2 linked regions of the Oreochromis niloticus genome follow. The protein of the gene in region 2 interacts with the protein of the main gene of each other region in a biochemical or structural test. Links are inferred from orthologs where the notes say so. Each region holds a gene or a part of one and is shown on either strand. Other genes may lie near its edges.

The links.
Region 1: the proteins of foxa2 (region 2) and hoxa5a form a complex in vitro, tested with the Homo sapiens proteins (2 studies listed by BioGRID). The link is inferred for Oreochromis niloticus from reciprocal best matches to the Homo sapiens genes FOXA2 and HOXA5.

The regions. Positions count from the first base shown.
Region 1 is NC_031985.2:25,349,326-25,356,537, forward strand, and holds the start of hoxa5a (homeobox protein Hox-A5a), read right to left. Parts: upstream 3,159-7,212; 5' UTR 2,433-3,158; coding exon 1,838-2,432; intron 1,182-1,837; coding exon 931-1,181; 3' UTR 1-930. UniProt on the Homo sapiens protein: Sequence-specific transcription factor which is part of a developmental regulatory system that provides cells with specific positional identities on the anterior-posterior axis. Also binds to its own promoter.
Region 2 is NC_031983.2:28,013,116-28,020,521, forward strand, and holds foxa2 (forkhead box protein A2), read right to left. Parts: upstream 3,265-7,406; 5' UTR 2,922-3,264; coding exon 2,850-2,921; intron 2,181-2,849; coding exon 1,011-2,180; 3' UTR 582-1,010; downstream 1-581. UniProt on the Homo sapiens protein: Transcription factor that is involved in embryonic development, establishment of tissue-specific gene expression and regulation of gene expression in differentiated tissues.

The sequences.
Region 1 (7,212 bases), on a different chromosome or scaffold from region 2:
CTATAGTTTGACTTCCAGTCTTCTGAAAAACATTTACAAAAAAAAAAAAAGAAAGAAAAAAAAACCTTATCACGATGGAGATAATACACATTGCGATAAGATTTACGGTGGGACCCTAAAAACAGCTAAAACACGCTTTTACTCAGATGTTGCGTCCAGGTGAAGAACGCAAAAAGAAAAAAATATATATAATAATAAAATAATAAGGAAAGAAAGAGAATAAAAGCAGCTCCTGCAAAAAAAAAAAAAAAAAAAAAAAAAAAAAAAAGATACAAGGCACAGCTACTGTACATACAAGGGTGAGTCGGCACCTTTGTCCACGTGTGTTCACAACACATACAATAACCACACAAGGCTTTTACTGCTGGTTCTACTTTTGGAAGCAAGTTATCTGACAACTCGGTACAATACACCAAACAAATAAATACATACATATACAGTACATACAGAGAAAAGAAAGGTCAAACACAAATGTAGCTCAACCTCAACCTTCTACTTATTAAGCTGTTATTGTTGAGTGCATCACACAGAAAATATGGATTTATTTGCGCTAGGCGGGTAGCATTTCAAGCTTTTATTTATTTAACGTTTTTTTTCCCGTCTGAACAAGAAATAATTTAAGCAAACATTTATTTTCATGTCTCTTTTTTCATCTTCTAAATCTAGACAGAACTGTACATAATGCATTTTACTCACATAAGCATAACCACGGTAGGGATAAAAATGAAATTATATTAAGGAATACAAGGGACTGTTGTTGGACATACAGAAGGTTTATAGATAGGCTGACCCTCCCCTCTGTCCCTTCTCTCACACAGCCCGCTAAGTCTCTGCGCTTTTTTGGAATAGGAGGAGAAGTTGATATGACAATCTTTGTTTTGCTTTTTTTATTTTGAAGTGCTCTTTTTTCAGGATTAAAAGGTGTAAAAATCAGGGCCTATAGGCTCCTCCGCCTGCAGCCGCCATGCTCATGCTTTTTAGTTTGTTGTCCTTCTTCCACTTCATCCTTCGGTTCTGAAACCAGATTTTGATCTGTCTCTCTGAGAGGCAGAGGGCATGGGCTATCTCGATCCTCCGCCTGCGGGTCAGGTACCGGTTGAAGTGGAACTCCTTCTCCAGCTCGAGGGTCTGGTACCGAGTGTATGCAGTTCTGGCCCGCTTCCCCTCTGGCCCAGACAAATCTTGTACACACAAAAAAGAGAAAACAGATCAGACGCAGAAGAATTAAATAATAATTTTACTTTTGCGCCAACTTTCTTGAAGACGTTTCTTTCAATTTTACAATCTTGTGTTTGGTAATATTATAGGTATGAATGTCTTAATCGCTGCCACACGACTGGCACCTTGTAGAGCTTGAATGGTTAAAACTTACAAGTAACAAGGTACCACACACTTTTACTACTGAGTCCATAGAAAGGGGGTTAATAGCAAAAAATATTTTAAGTATCCTCTTTTTATTTAAAACCATTTTAAAACGCACATTTTGTAAATATCAAGTGTAGAAAAAGGTCAAATACATTTAACTAGTCTAACCTCGCATCTGTTGCTACACTATCCCGTACCTGATAGTCTTGCTAACCAAATATAAACCAAACAGGTGAGAGGTGCACATAGCGCCACATGCCCCTTTTCCAAAACTACGTTTATTTGTGCTCTTTCTATCACTTTAACGCCAGAATGGCCAAAATTTGGCTTGTGCTCATAAAATGTCCTAAATAAGATGATCCCACGTCCCTTTTCTCTCTTTCTTTTTTTTTAAACAAACAGTCAGACAACAGCTTTTTGTTTTTTACAAAAGATCAAAATCAGTACGAAGTCATTAAACAAAGCAGTTTACCGTGACTTATGTGTAGTTTTCTCATCCACGGGTATATCTGAGGCTGTGTTGAGTCGGTTACATTTTGAGGAGTTGTCGGTGCACTTCCCGCGGGCTTCTCTTCCTCCAGAGGGGAAGCTTTGGACACACAGTCCCGGCTGAGCAGCAGCGTGGCTCCGTTCGAGTTTGAGCACGGGGTTGAGCACGGGGTCGTTATGGAGTTTTTCACAGCTCTGTGCTGAGACTGTGTCTCGGTCACTGGGGACGAGCTGGCGACCGAGGAGCACGGTAGAGAGTCAGGTGGAGGCGATAGAGACGAGTTCCCGGTGCTGCTTGCGGACTGGTTGTACCTGACAGGCTCCACCGCGGGTGTTGTCGCCGCTGAGTGACTCGGGGAGTAGCCCGGTGTCCGCTCGCTTCCCACAAAGTGTCCGGTACTGGTCCGACCGACTGTTAGGTCCATCCCGTTGTAGCCGTAGCCATACCTGCTGGAATGCATGGCTGTTGAGTCTCTATATTGCTCGTTTGCCGTACTGTGGTCTCCATAATTATGTAACTGGAAGTCCGCGCCATTGGGATAGCGACCGCAGAATGAGTTCACAAAATAGGAGCTCATTTGTTGACAGTTCCACCGTTTGCTTGTTGTAGGTATTGCTCTTGTTTTTGATGGTTATTTTTAGAGGTAAAATAGCATAACCTGTGTTCTTGATTTGTGGCTCTTATGCTTTAGCGCGTCCTATAGCACCCTTGCACAATTTATGATGAATTATGGAAATGAGTGGGACATGGACTTGATTCTCTCTTACGTAGGCACCCAAATATGGGGTATGGCGAAGAATCACGTGCTTTTGTTGACCAGTCGTAAATCCTGCTCGGTGACCTCCAGAGGTAAACTCGTGCACGCAGGAAATACTGGGTGGGATATAAGGGGTGCGCGCTTTCCCTGCGCTCGTGGCTAGGGCAAACTCTGAGCCGGGGCTTTGGGTGTTTTGGATTGTCGTGGTGCGCCATCCTCTGGTTCAACAGTTGCACTGCGTGTCTGCGGCGCTTTCCGAGACGTGGGCTGCACACGGGGTCATTCGGAGGTTAACGACCATTGCGGCAAAAAAAAAAAAAAGAAGAAGAAAAAGAAAAAAGGCTCCTGAACAATACAACAAGTGACATGCTGAGAGTGCAATCTCGGCGGTGATAGTGTACAGAAATAATTCGATCAGAATCCGTTATGCATGTTATGATGGGCTATGAGTGTAAACAGTCTGCGCACTTAATAGAATAAAAGCCCATTCGCAACAGAGCTGCGTTTTCTCTCATATGATATAGCCTTATCATGAAATATCTGAACGACTTCAAGAGCAAAAAAAAAAAAAAAAAAAAAAAAGACTAATGAATAAATGTTTGGGGGAAGAATAAAAGCTAAACATCACTTTATCGAATAAAGCCACAGAAAGTGCTATCCGAGGCCTGCTTTTTTACGCCACTTTGAAAAATTAATAACTATAAATATGGGCTTTATATGAACACACGAATGTCGTTTATAAGCAGGTTAAAATATATAACTATGGCCCTCCATGGAACAGATGCTCAGATGATAGCTATTACAAGCCTTTTGCGCCAAACCCGATGTTATTTTGCTCTTATTTAACGGCGACTCCTCTGCTATATTGACCTTTAAACAGTCAATCATGCCAAGCTGCAGTTTCTCGTGTTTTTATTTGTTTACATATAAGCTAAAGATTGATTATTTCTTCTTTTTATAACCTGAGAAACTACAAAGCCCGGGGCTTTGCTAAGTATGACTTTTGAATTTAATGGAATTAGTGGAGGGGTGGAAAAAATAGACTTTATTGCAAAAATGACACGGTGAAAGGATTTGCTGCTTAGAAGTGAAGTTGATGCTTTTTAAGTCCCCGAAATGTAGAATACTCAATCAAACTTTAACATTATTTTGCGAGTGTGGTGAAAGCTGAACAGCATATTTATATTCCCAGGGGTTAATACAAAAAGCACATACGTATTTACGATGACAGAGAAAAGGCGATCTTGAGATTTTCTCCTCATTTTTGCCACTGTGATCATTAAAAAAAAATTCCCAAAACAATTTCTCAACACAGCTGTGCAATCGATCACTGAAACCGTCGAAAATATTATTGATAATAAATAATAATGTTATTTTTAGATATGTTAGAAGCTATTCCTTGCAGCAGTCATGTATCATTGCTCAATAAACCTCAGCACACTTGGCCCAGCTTCGTTTAACGCTGTAACCCGACCGATTCACCATTTGAAAACGGTTCGTCAGCTTTAGACTTTCTTTCAAATTAATTCATGAAGGAAATCACAAATTTTAAAAGAAGTGAAACAGGCATGGCGCAGTCCGGCGCTTCCCGTTTGTTTTACTCCCTGTGGAATTTTTATGGCACATTCGCCTCTCGAAGGCAGTGACTTGTCCTAAGGTTTCCTCCACATGCCGTTTCCCCGGAGCAGAGCATTTACCCAGCACAAGCCCATTCCTGTGTTAAGACTGACAGGAACAGTGGGATGGATTTATTCAGTCTCAGGTATGTGTGTGTGAGAGAGAGAGTGCGTTAACACACTCCCAGAAGGCGCGACTTTAGGAAGGGTGAATACCGGGCTCCTACACACCCAGTGTTGGCCCACAATGAGAGGAAAGCTATGCGCGGAGTTTGTGTTGGCTAAACAGTCGAGCTACAACAGCTGATTTATGGTTGGCCAATGGCAACAAAGTTCCCACGAAAATTACTTCTCTGAGTTGAGCCAGGGACACACCCAGGAACTAAAACACAGGCATCGAAAAGAAAGGAGAGCAGAGTGAGAGCGCGCTGGTGTCTGACTTGTCGGGTTGAGAGAGGGGTGAAGGGGGTACGATGGTCACTGGTGAAGGAAGGGGGGCGGTGCTCTCCGACTTTGCAGGCACACTCACACACTCGTAGTAGCTTCTGAGCAAACATTTAAAGTCACTTTCTTGTTCGTGGCCTATAATCCACGTGTTACCCCAAGAAATTACGGTCGTTCAAGCAAAAAAAATCATACTCTTTATGCAGAAATGACATATAGAACAGGGAAATTTATCACTGCAATTGATGCATTTAAATCACCCTGTTAAGACTGATTGGGGGATACATTGCATGTTTTTTTGCATCGATGCATTTTATTAAATATTAATTACAGTCTAGCAACATGAATGTTATGATTTTACGTTCGGCAACACCGGGAACAACAGCATCTATGGACAGAGACTGAAAGAAACATTTCACAATTAAAATATCTGATCATTTTAAAATGCATTTTTAAGTGTAATAATGTTTAGTGGTTGTCATCCTGTTTATTAACCCCATGCACATCACGCTGAGGCCTACATGCACACATACAAGGCACATAGAATAAAACACGTGGATGCACAGATGTCGACCTCTCTCATTTGCAGCAAAAAAAAGAAAAGAAAAACACGCAGAGCTGCAAGCACAATAGCCCCACTCCCTCCACAGGAGGGCGTCAAAGAGCGCATACTTTGCCCATCATCCATCCACCCGAAAGCACATCCCCATTTAAATCCACCAACAAATACAATCCAGACAGCCTACAACACTAAGCTCACTGCAAAAATGAATGTTAAATGTTAAAATATTATTAATAATAATCATCATCATCAAATAAGAGCTTGTAAATCTGATAAATCAGATTTAACACGAAGCATCAGTGATGGGAATCCTGATAAAGATCAACTGTAACACGAAACCATTCCTTTCCAGGATTTCAATCTCTAACAAAAATCAAAGCTGGCGAAACCATAAAGTAAGTTGCTTGCTTTAAGAAGATGCAAACAAGTACATTGTCAACCACATGCACCGGCTGACGAGCGTAAGCTGCCTTACCTTGTGAAGGTCTCTGTATGTAAACACAGGGGGGTGACTGGAGGGAGTGGGCAGGTGCAGTGACGGGGAAAAGTCTCCCGGCTGAGACCCCTTACGGAAGCTTGGTTCTCCATGGGGGTCGGTTCCTTCGTCTCATCTTTCCGTTACCTTTCAGGAGCCCGCCAAGGCACCCAAGTGATCCAGGCATGTCTTACTGTAAGCTCCTTGCTCGTCGAGGTTCTGCCTAACATCTCACCCCTCACCCCTTAGAAAAAATCCCCAAAAGTACATGTGAGACATGGTAAAATGACGAAGGTCGCCTGTGAAAAGGTTCCCGTGGAAGCCCGAGACCGTTAAATGAAAGGCTCCTCTAGCCCGCAATTGAAAATTAAATATAAAAAAGGAGAAAAAAAAGTTCATGTTCATGGCTCCCAGCCACGTGACAAGCTGCGGCCAATGGGAACCCGGGCCGCGTCGTAAACTTGTATGGCTATGTTGTAAATTTTCATAAACAACAACGGATTTATGGCCCAGAGCTGGAGGGAGAGGGACGGGGGGAGAGAGAGAGACAGAAAAAGGAGGGAGGGAGGAGGGCAGGTCAGCGTCAGGCGCCATCTTACCCAGCGAGGAGGGAAAGCAGAGTTCAACAGTAATTTCCCTTCATCTGCAGCCTGTCCCATCTCGCATCCTCATAGCTCACATTCCCCAACTTCACTGTTTACCTAACCCCCATTATGGACTGTAACATGTCTCATTACATGCAACCCAATACTGGTCACACTGAAGGTCACTTAATGGTAACTGTGAACACAATATTACTCGACCCAGGGCGCGATTACAATCATTTTCTTGCATGGATATTTTAATAAACACGGTAAATATGGAATGAAACCAAATAGAGAGGGTAAAAGCATTTTTATTAAATGATTGCGCGTTCACTTCATTTACAGGACAGACTACTTACAGGCCTAGCAGACTTTTTATTGAAAGCCAGCAGCGTTTGTCCACTGTACTGGAATATTTCTCCGATTATAAAATGATGGATATTGCCAGCTGGGTAACGGTACATGTATTTATAAGCCTAATCTGTAAAGCTACATCTTCACAGTAGCCTACGGCACAATCGCTGACGGTATAGTGAGCGAGTGAGGAATCTGAGGTAGGTTACATGCAAAACTAAACAAATATTTGCGTCTATAGTTAAATCCTCACCCCTAGCAGGCGGATTAAAATCCATGTTAATTATAAGGGGGTGGGGGGATGGGGGGGCGAAGAAGAAACTCAGTAATTATTTTATCAAAGGCAGTTAACTAAAACATTCGCCTTTACCCGATTCAAAATAAGGCACATGAATTGTATTCCTTCCCTTCAGAAAATACGACCGCGGTGGAAAACAGGAAACCATCAATTAAATCACCAGCTCAGTTCGTGATTACATTCCCGTGTCACTTTTTGAAAATTATAAGGTAAATATTAGGTAGTTTTGTTTTTGTTGAAGGAATGTTAACTCAGTAGTAGTTTTCT
Region 2 (7,406 bases):
ATCGACTGTGTGGGGTCAATTTTGCTAAAAACTGTTTTAATATATATATATTTAAATTATCCGCTAGCTATTAGCCGCTTTTTTTCTTTCAAACCTCCTTTTTCCTCACTTCAGTTTAAAAATATTATATTATAGAATGTGGCGCACTGGCTACATCTCCTTTTTTTCATATAAATATTTGAATTTGTGGTTGGGATTAATGAGCATATATGTGTGTTGTTTACATTTCCTGAATGACAAATTGGGAGCATTGTTCCCGGTTTTATCCAGCAAAGCTATTAATCCAAGCTGACTGTGCGCCTTACGTGGGTAAGAATAAATTCCAGAATTTGAATTAAATAAATAAATACATCGTGAGAAACGTATTTTATGATCCCAAACATGGATGAATGGATTCGTTTTTGTTATGATAATATAAACCAAAACTGGACTAAATTAATGCCGCCTCAAGTTGTATCTTTCTCCTGCAAATTCTCCGTTTGAAGTTCGTTTTTTGGATAAAATCTAATTTTTCCTATAATAATAATAATAATAATAATAATAATAATAATAATAATAATAAATGGTCCAACACCGTGACATTCAGAAAACAAAACCAATAACACTTTAATATAGATTCTGTTCTTGTCACTACAAGAATACACATATACAAGCCATAAATAGGAATTACACAAATGATTGAACAAATCCAGCGAGGCATTTCGAGTCATTTACGAGTCCAGTTATGCGGACGCAGGCTATTTTACAGCAAGTTGTTGTTGGTTGTCTTTGGGTCCAGTCCTGAAACCAACTTCTGAGCAGATTTCCGTCACATTATCAGTGTTTTTTAATCATTAATATCAGCATCCTCTCAAAATAATTAGGCTACTAACAAACTCGACAACTAAAACTGTGGGAAACGTCAAAAATATCTGAAATACATATTGTACACAAAGTCTATACTTTTTTCTTTTACAAATGTACAAAGTGAATGGGAAGAAAGTCCACATTACATGAGGGGATAAAAGAGTTTACGAGGAGTTCATGATTGGTCTGGAATAGACACCTTGGTAGTAAGTTGTGTCAGGTATGGATGAAGAATCCAGACCGGCTTTCCCCGCCATGGAGCCCATGGAAAGAGGTCCCGCCATGGGGGAGCCATAGCCGGAGTAATGCATCACCTGCTCGTAAGTCTTTAAGTCCATTTTGTGATGCTGCTGCTCCGAGGACATGAGGTTATTTATGGAGAAAGGGTGGTTGAAGGAGTAGTGGTGCTCCGGCTTCAGGTGGGCTTCGTGCGCAAGAACCGAGTGATGCTGAGACATGAGGTGCTGCCCCTGCGTCACCGGGCTAGCAGCGGTGTGCTCCGGGCTCAGGGCCTGGCTCGTCTTCATGTCCGACAGGGACCTTTTGTGGTCGCTGGAGGAGGAGTTGGAGAGCGGGGACTCGTTGCCGTTGCAGCTCTCTGAGCTGCTGTTGGAGGAGCCGCCGTCCCCTGACTTGCGGCCCGGTTCCTTCATCTTCTTGTCGCACTTAAAGCGTTTCTGCCTCCTCAGGTAGCAGCCGTTCTCGAACATGTTCCCGGAGTCCGGGTGCAGAGTCCAAAACGAGCCTTTCCCCGGTTTATCCGGCGACCTGGGCACTTTGACGAAACAGTCATTGAAAGACAAAGAGTGGCGAATGGAGTTCTGCCAGCGCTGCTGGTTCTGTCGGTAAAACGGGAAGAGGTCCATTATCCACTGGTAGATCTCGGCTAGTGTCAGCATCTTGCTCGGGGACTGCTGGATGGCCATGGTGATGAGAGAAATGTAGGAGTACGGGGGTTTGGCGTGCGTGTAGCTCCTGCGGTAGGTCTTTGGGTCTCTGGACCTGTTGATGTTAGACTGTCCGTATATCGGGCTCATGGCGTTCATGTTTGAGTACGACGTGAGGGCGTTCATAGACGCGGGCTGTGCGGTCATGGGACTCATGCTGGGGCTCAGGGCTGCGCTCATTGCCGTCATCCCTGCGCCCATGCCGTTCATGGCTCCGGTTCCCGGTGACATGCCGGTCATGGAGGGGCTCATGCCCGTGTTGACGTATGACATATTCATGGAGTTGGCCGTCATGTTGGCAGTGGTGCTCATGCCGGACATGCTCATGTAGGTATTCATAGAGTTCATTCCCAGGCCCGCGTTCATGTTGCCAACCGAGGTGTAACACTGTCAGTGAGGGAAAGAGGCATTCGTGAGTTTCATCTGGCATTGCAGCGAGGAATAAAGCGGCACAGTGATTTCTAAACACGGCGAATCGTTATCATTTGAGCCTGATAAAAATCGCCTTATTCATCTCCATAAATAATACTGAATATTTTAAAGCTTCCCGGTTTCGTAAGTGTGAAGTGGCATTGTAAGCGTTTGCTCTCGCGCGAAGTATTTCCTAGAAATGAAAAACAGGGGTGTGTATATTTAACAATATATTTAACGCCACTATTACAACAAAACATAAATAAATAAATAAAATTGAGGTGACTATTCCTCTTAAAATGTGCAACCTAGATGAAAATCGTACTCGGTGTGCGTGTGTCCACTGAAAAATCTGCCCGAAATCAAACGGCACACGTGTTTATTGGGTGGAAACCTGACCAACAATAACCCGATTTAGTAGAAACACGTAGAGACTTATGAAATTATAATCCGAGCGAAAAGTTTCTTCCCCTACATGTCAAGCAACTTTGTTAGGATAGTGCGCTGCGTGGAGATGGGGGAGGATTTGGAGGCGCCTCAAGTCAATATTTGATCACAAAGTTAATATTATCTCAGGGCTAATATTGAGTTGTATAAAATGGGATCGGCTTTAGACAGAAAAAAATATATATTTAAGGTACCCACCTCGGGCTCTCCGTAGTAGGTGCTCCAGTCGGTGTGTTCGTGTCCTTCCATTTTAACTGCTCCAAGCATCATGGAGGACTTTTACAAAGCGTCTCCCAGCAGAGGGAAAGCCAAAAGTCTCTCTAATAGCAGGTAACTGGGGACCACTGAGTGTATTTAGGTCGTCGGTGTGTCCCTTCGTCGAAGACTGGAGCATGTGTGTCTTATGGAGCCAGCCGTGAAATGCGTCTGTCAGTGACTGGAGTTCAAATGACGCTCCGTGCTGCTTGTTAACGCTGTGATATAGCTCTGTGCTCTAGGCAAGCCTCCAATCCCTACTTCTACGCCTTGGGCCCTATTTGAATAATCTCCTCGCACCTAGGCGTGAGACTCCTCGAGCATCCCCCCACCCCAATTGTACACCTGCGCTAACTGAAAAGAACAGTTTCATATGAAAAGCTTCATTATAAACTAATCTTATTGTATTTTGGTTGGGGCAGAAAAAGGGGGGGAGAACTATAAAAGGAATGTTTGGCGCTCTTCCTTGGTGCGCTTTTCATTACGCACATCCTCCAAAGTGCTTATTCCACTTCAGCTGAGCTCAAATCATAATCCATTTTATTGCGTTGCATTCAAGGAATTTATTGCCTAAGCCTACATATAAATTTTAACTATTTTACACCGAGAACACCAAAGAACACGAAAACGTTTAGAAATGAAGTAAAATCTCGTTTCAGCAAAAATCTCCACAGAGGAGTATTTAAGGCAGATTAAACCATTAACTGATACAGGATTAAATATTATTCTGCCATAGCTTTGTTGCTATATAAATCCAAGAACACATGTTTATGTCTTACATAAATGATAAGACACAGTTTTTAAACCTTTCTGATGTTCACCTGAAGAGGATTTCTCTTTCAGCTTTGCTTAGTCCACAGAAAAAGCAGCGAGATCCGTGTAAATGACCGCAGCTTGTTTGATACAATTGGTCATTTTAAACAATATCAAAACTTCCTACAAGCTAAAGTTTACATTTTGTCAGTACTAAAGTCCTTACCTCTTTCCCAACTAATGTAGGTGATATTTGCACAAAGGCACAGTTTAACCTGATTTCTTAACCTGGGAGACTGAATTACTGTTTCTAAATGTTTTAATTAGTGTCGAATACGCCAGGCACAGCTTCAGAGCGCCCTCTCTCGGATGCCACCTCCGACTGGCTCTACTGTCTGTGGCACATAAAGTCATTCTTTGAACTCAAACGCCCGTGAAATATTTTAAAATCAACGAAAGTTGGGCGCTTTTTCTTTAGGTTGACTCAAAAAAAGAGATGAAAAATAACCGAAATCAAGAAAAACACGGAAGTGATGACGTTACAGCCCACATTCTGATATTTAAATAGGTCATTCGAGAGTTCGCGTGGTTGTATAGGCAGACAGCTTTTCTGATTTTGTTTGTTGGGAGACCTTTTAAAGCACGAAACTCCTGTTTTTCATCAGACGTGCGGGCCTGCGTGTTGAGGGCCTCTCATTTTCGCAACCCGTACAGTATTTGTATGACACAAACATCAAGGTGAGGCTGCAGAGCGATGCCAGCCACGTGTCAGTAGTTGTACATCTATTTGACTGCATATTTACGCAAGAGCATAACTATCAGTATAGAGCCCCATTAGTAAAGGCGAGTAAACCTGTCGTGTTGACGAGGGACTAACACAGTCTGCTTAACTTGGAAATGAGATCATGAGAAAAAGCTCTGTGTGTTTGAGGATTTGGGATTGCACCGGCGGAGAGGTGGAAATGGAGAAAGCTGGAGATGGTCAAATCTGCGCTCTCCCGGCTCGACTGAGTCAACAACAATAAGTTTTGTGAAATGTTATTTTTGAAAGGGACAGTCGCTGCAAAATCACAAAACGCTTAAAACAAACAGTCATCTAATATTTGTGTATAATAGAGCCTTTATAAAGTGTTAAGGGCGGAAGATTAGGCGCGTTGAATATTTTTGGTGTGAGCTCATTATGGAGTAACTGGATTTCAAAGAAGACATTTTTCATAGATTTTAAAATATAATTTTAAAAAGGTTTTACAAATATTCTGACGCATTTCTGTTGCATAAATGTGCTAAAAAAAATCCGATCGTGAATGCTTGCATGGCCAGCCAGTATGTTTGTGTGTGTTACGCAACGATGTGGTCACGCTGAATGTGAAAAATGTTGCATATTTTCTTTTAAAAAGTATGAAAACGGGTTCAAAAAGGACCTGGAATGGTTCTGGTACCGCTAAATCCAATATATATGAGTTAAAAATATTATTTCATGATGTGCTTATTTTAAAATTACAGAAACTAAAAACCGTGAGCATTTTAAAAGGGTCCTTGACCTGTGTAACATTATGTTCCTGAATGAGACATGAAGCTAAATCCATGGTTAATCATCAACTTTCCAGAGTCCTCTCACATGAGTGAAGGTCACATTTTGGAAAAACAAAAAACTGGTGCAGGGCTTTATGCAGATGTAATTTCTATTCAGCGTATTTTGTTTTTCTTTATTATTCTTTGGTGTAGTGTTTGCATCCTCACTCCAGAACAATAACTGGCCTTTTCACAAAAAAATGTTACCTCCTCTCCACAGCAGACACTACATATCACTCTGACTCTATCTCACACTCTGTACAATTGTAACATTTTTATTTATGACCCCCTCTGACTTTGTCAGTGGAAAGAGATAACCAAAGAAATCACACGGTAAATTTGATATATGGGGCCTGACTTCAGTTTTTGGAAACGGAACAAAAAAAAAACAAGTAAAGAAAAAGTGTCAGCAAAGTGACAAAATGTGGAGAATTTCAGAAATGTGAGCTCCAAAACACAGTTTAAATGTTCCACAGAATCAGAACAAGTCCCTCCCGAATTTTAAAAGCCAGAGTAGTTAATCACTGCCTCTTTATGGTTGGTACAGAAAAGATGATTGAATCACCAAAGACTGAAAATCTTGCATTGCGTTACACTCGGCTTAAATTCAGAAGGTTAATTACACGTGCATGTATATACTTGTAAGCTGGTCTGTTAGTGAATAAAAAAATATGCCAAGTATCCATTCTTCTACCGTAATTATGTAAAACTGGACTAAAAAAAAGTAGCAATATAAAACGAAAATCTTTATCCAAAGATTTCAGAGTCTTTTTGATGTTTCACAGTCAAATTAAAGTAATGTTGTAAATCATTTTGCTTATGATTGAGGTTCAGACCAGGTAAACCTTTGGGTCAAATACAGGCAGTGTGTCCCTTTCTATTTAACCTCTGGTTTATTCCATTGACACCAGCTTTAAAATACGCACTTCAATAGTTCACTTCAACACACTGAGCAGGGAATCTAATGGCCTGATGGTCATTGCTGCAATATGTACAAACCGCTGCCACGTTTCTTGGCAGTTTTTCTGTTCCCAGCTGAAGCTTTCACAATCCCGCATGCACTGAAAATGAGGCCAGGACTGCATTGACTTGTTCTCATGAGATTGAGTCAGAACACAGCTCAGTGTGTTATTATAAAATTTATATATTTCCATTGAAAATTTCCTTGTGGCACCTGAACCAGCAGTGTAGCCCTCTTTCTCCTCCAGTTAGATTTGCCACACTCTGGATTAATTAGCCTTTAGGATGATGGGTGTTACATTTCACACATTTAGGTGTCATTCCTTTATTGGTTATGATAAGGGAATCCACTAAGTGGTGAAAATGTAATGACTGAGTTAAAGAGGTGAAAGCAAAGCACACACGTGGCCCCAAAATGACACCAGGAAGTTTTCTTGGGTGCAGGGCAGGGGGATGGAAACGGATAGATCTCTGCTCGGTGAGAGGAAGGTGGAACATTCCTTCAAACACCCAGGAGCTGTTGGCAGTTATGTGCTAGCTTTAAGTTCCAACTTTCAAAGTAAGGATTTTTTTCTCAACTGAAATTAAAAGCTCTGCTGAAGAATGCACCTTTTTGTGCCTTTCTACCCTCCTGAGTACACCGAGCCACACAAAACAGCACAGGGCAAAGGGTTAAGCATGTAATTCATCAAAATAAAATTAATAACAAGAGAGTCTTCCTCTTGGAAAGTGCTGGAAAAAAAAATGTTTGCGGCCAACTTGCCTGTGGTGACAGTAAACATTCCAGAGCCGGGCTGGAGTTTGGACCTGCCATTATCTGCCACAGCTGTGACAACGCCTGTTGGCTGCAGGTTTGTGGCTGGCCACACTGTGTTTACCTGGAAATGAATCTGAAAAGCGGCCGGACTGGGAAGGCACACAACCTAGCTAAATAAAAACTGAGAGTGGCCATTGCAACGAGATGCAGTGGGAGGCAGTCCAAAGTTATTGCACTGGCCCCAGTGGGTCAGGGCGCAAACACAGGCGTAAACGCAGTAAGGCTATCCTCAAACACGCACCTTTTGATATTGAGAGGAATGCAGCGAGGAATGCCATTCGATATGTTTTATGTTGACTGTATCCAAGGCATTGTAGATGCAATACTTTCCTCTTGTCATGTTAGAAAAAGAACCTGTGTTTACCGCCGGCCTTCATCTGTCAAACAAGGTGACAGTT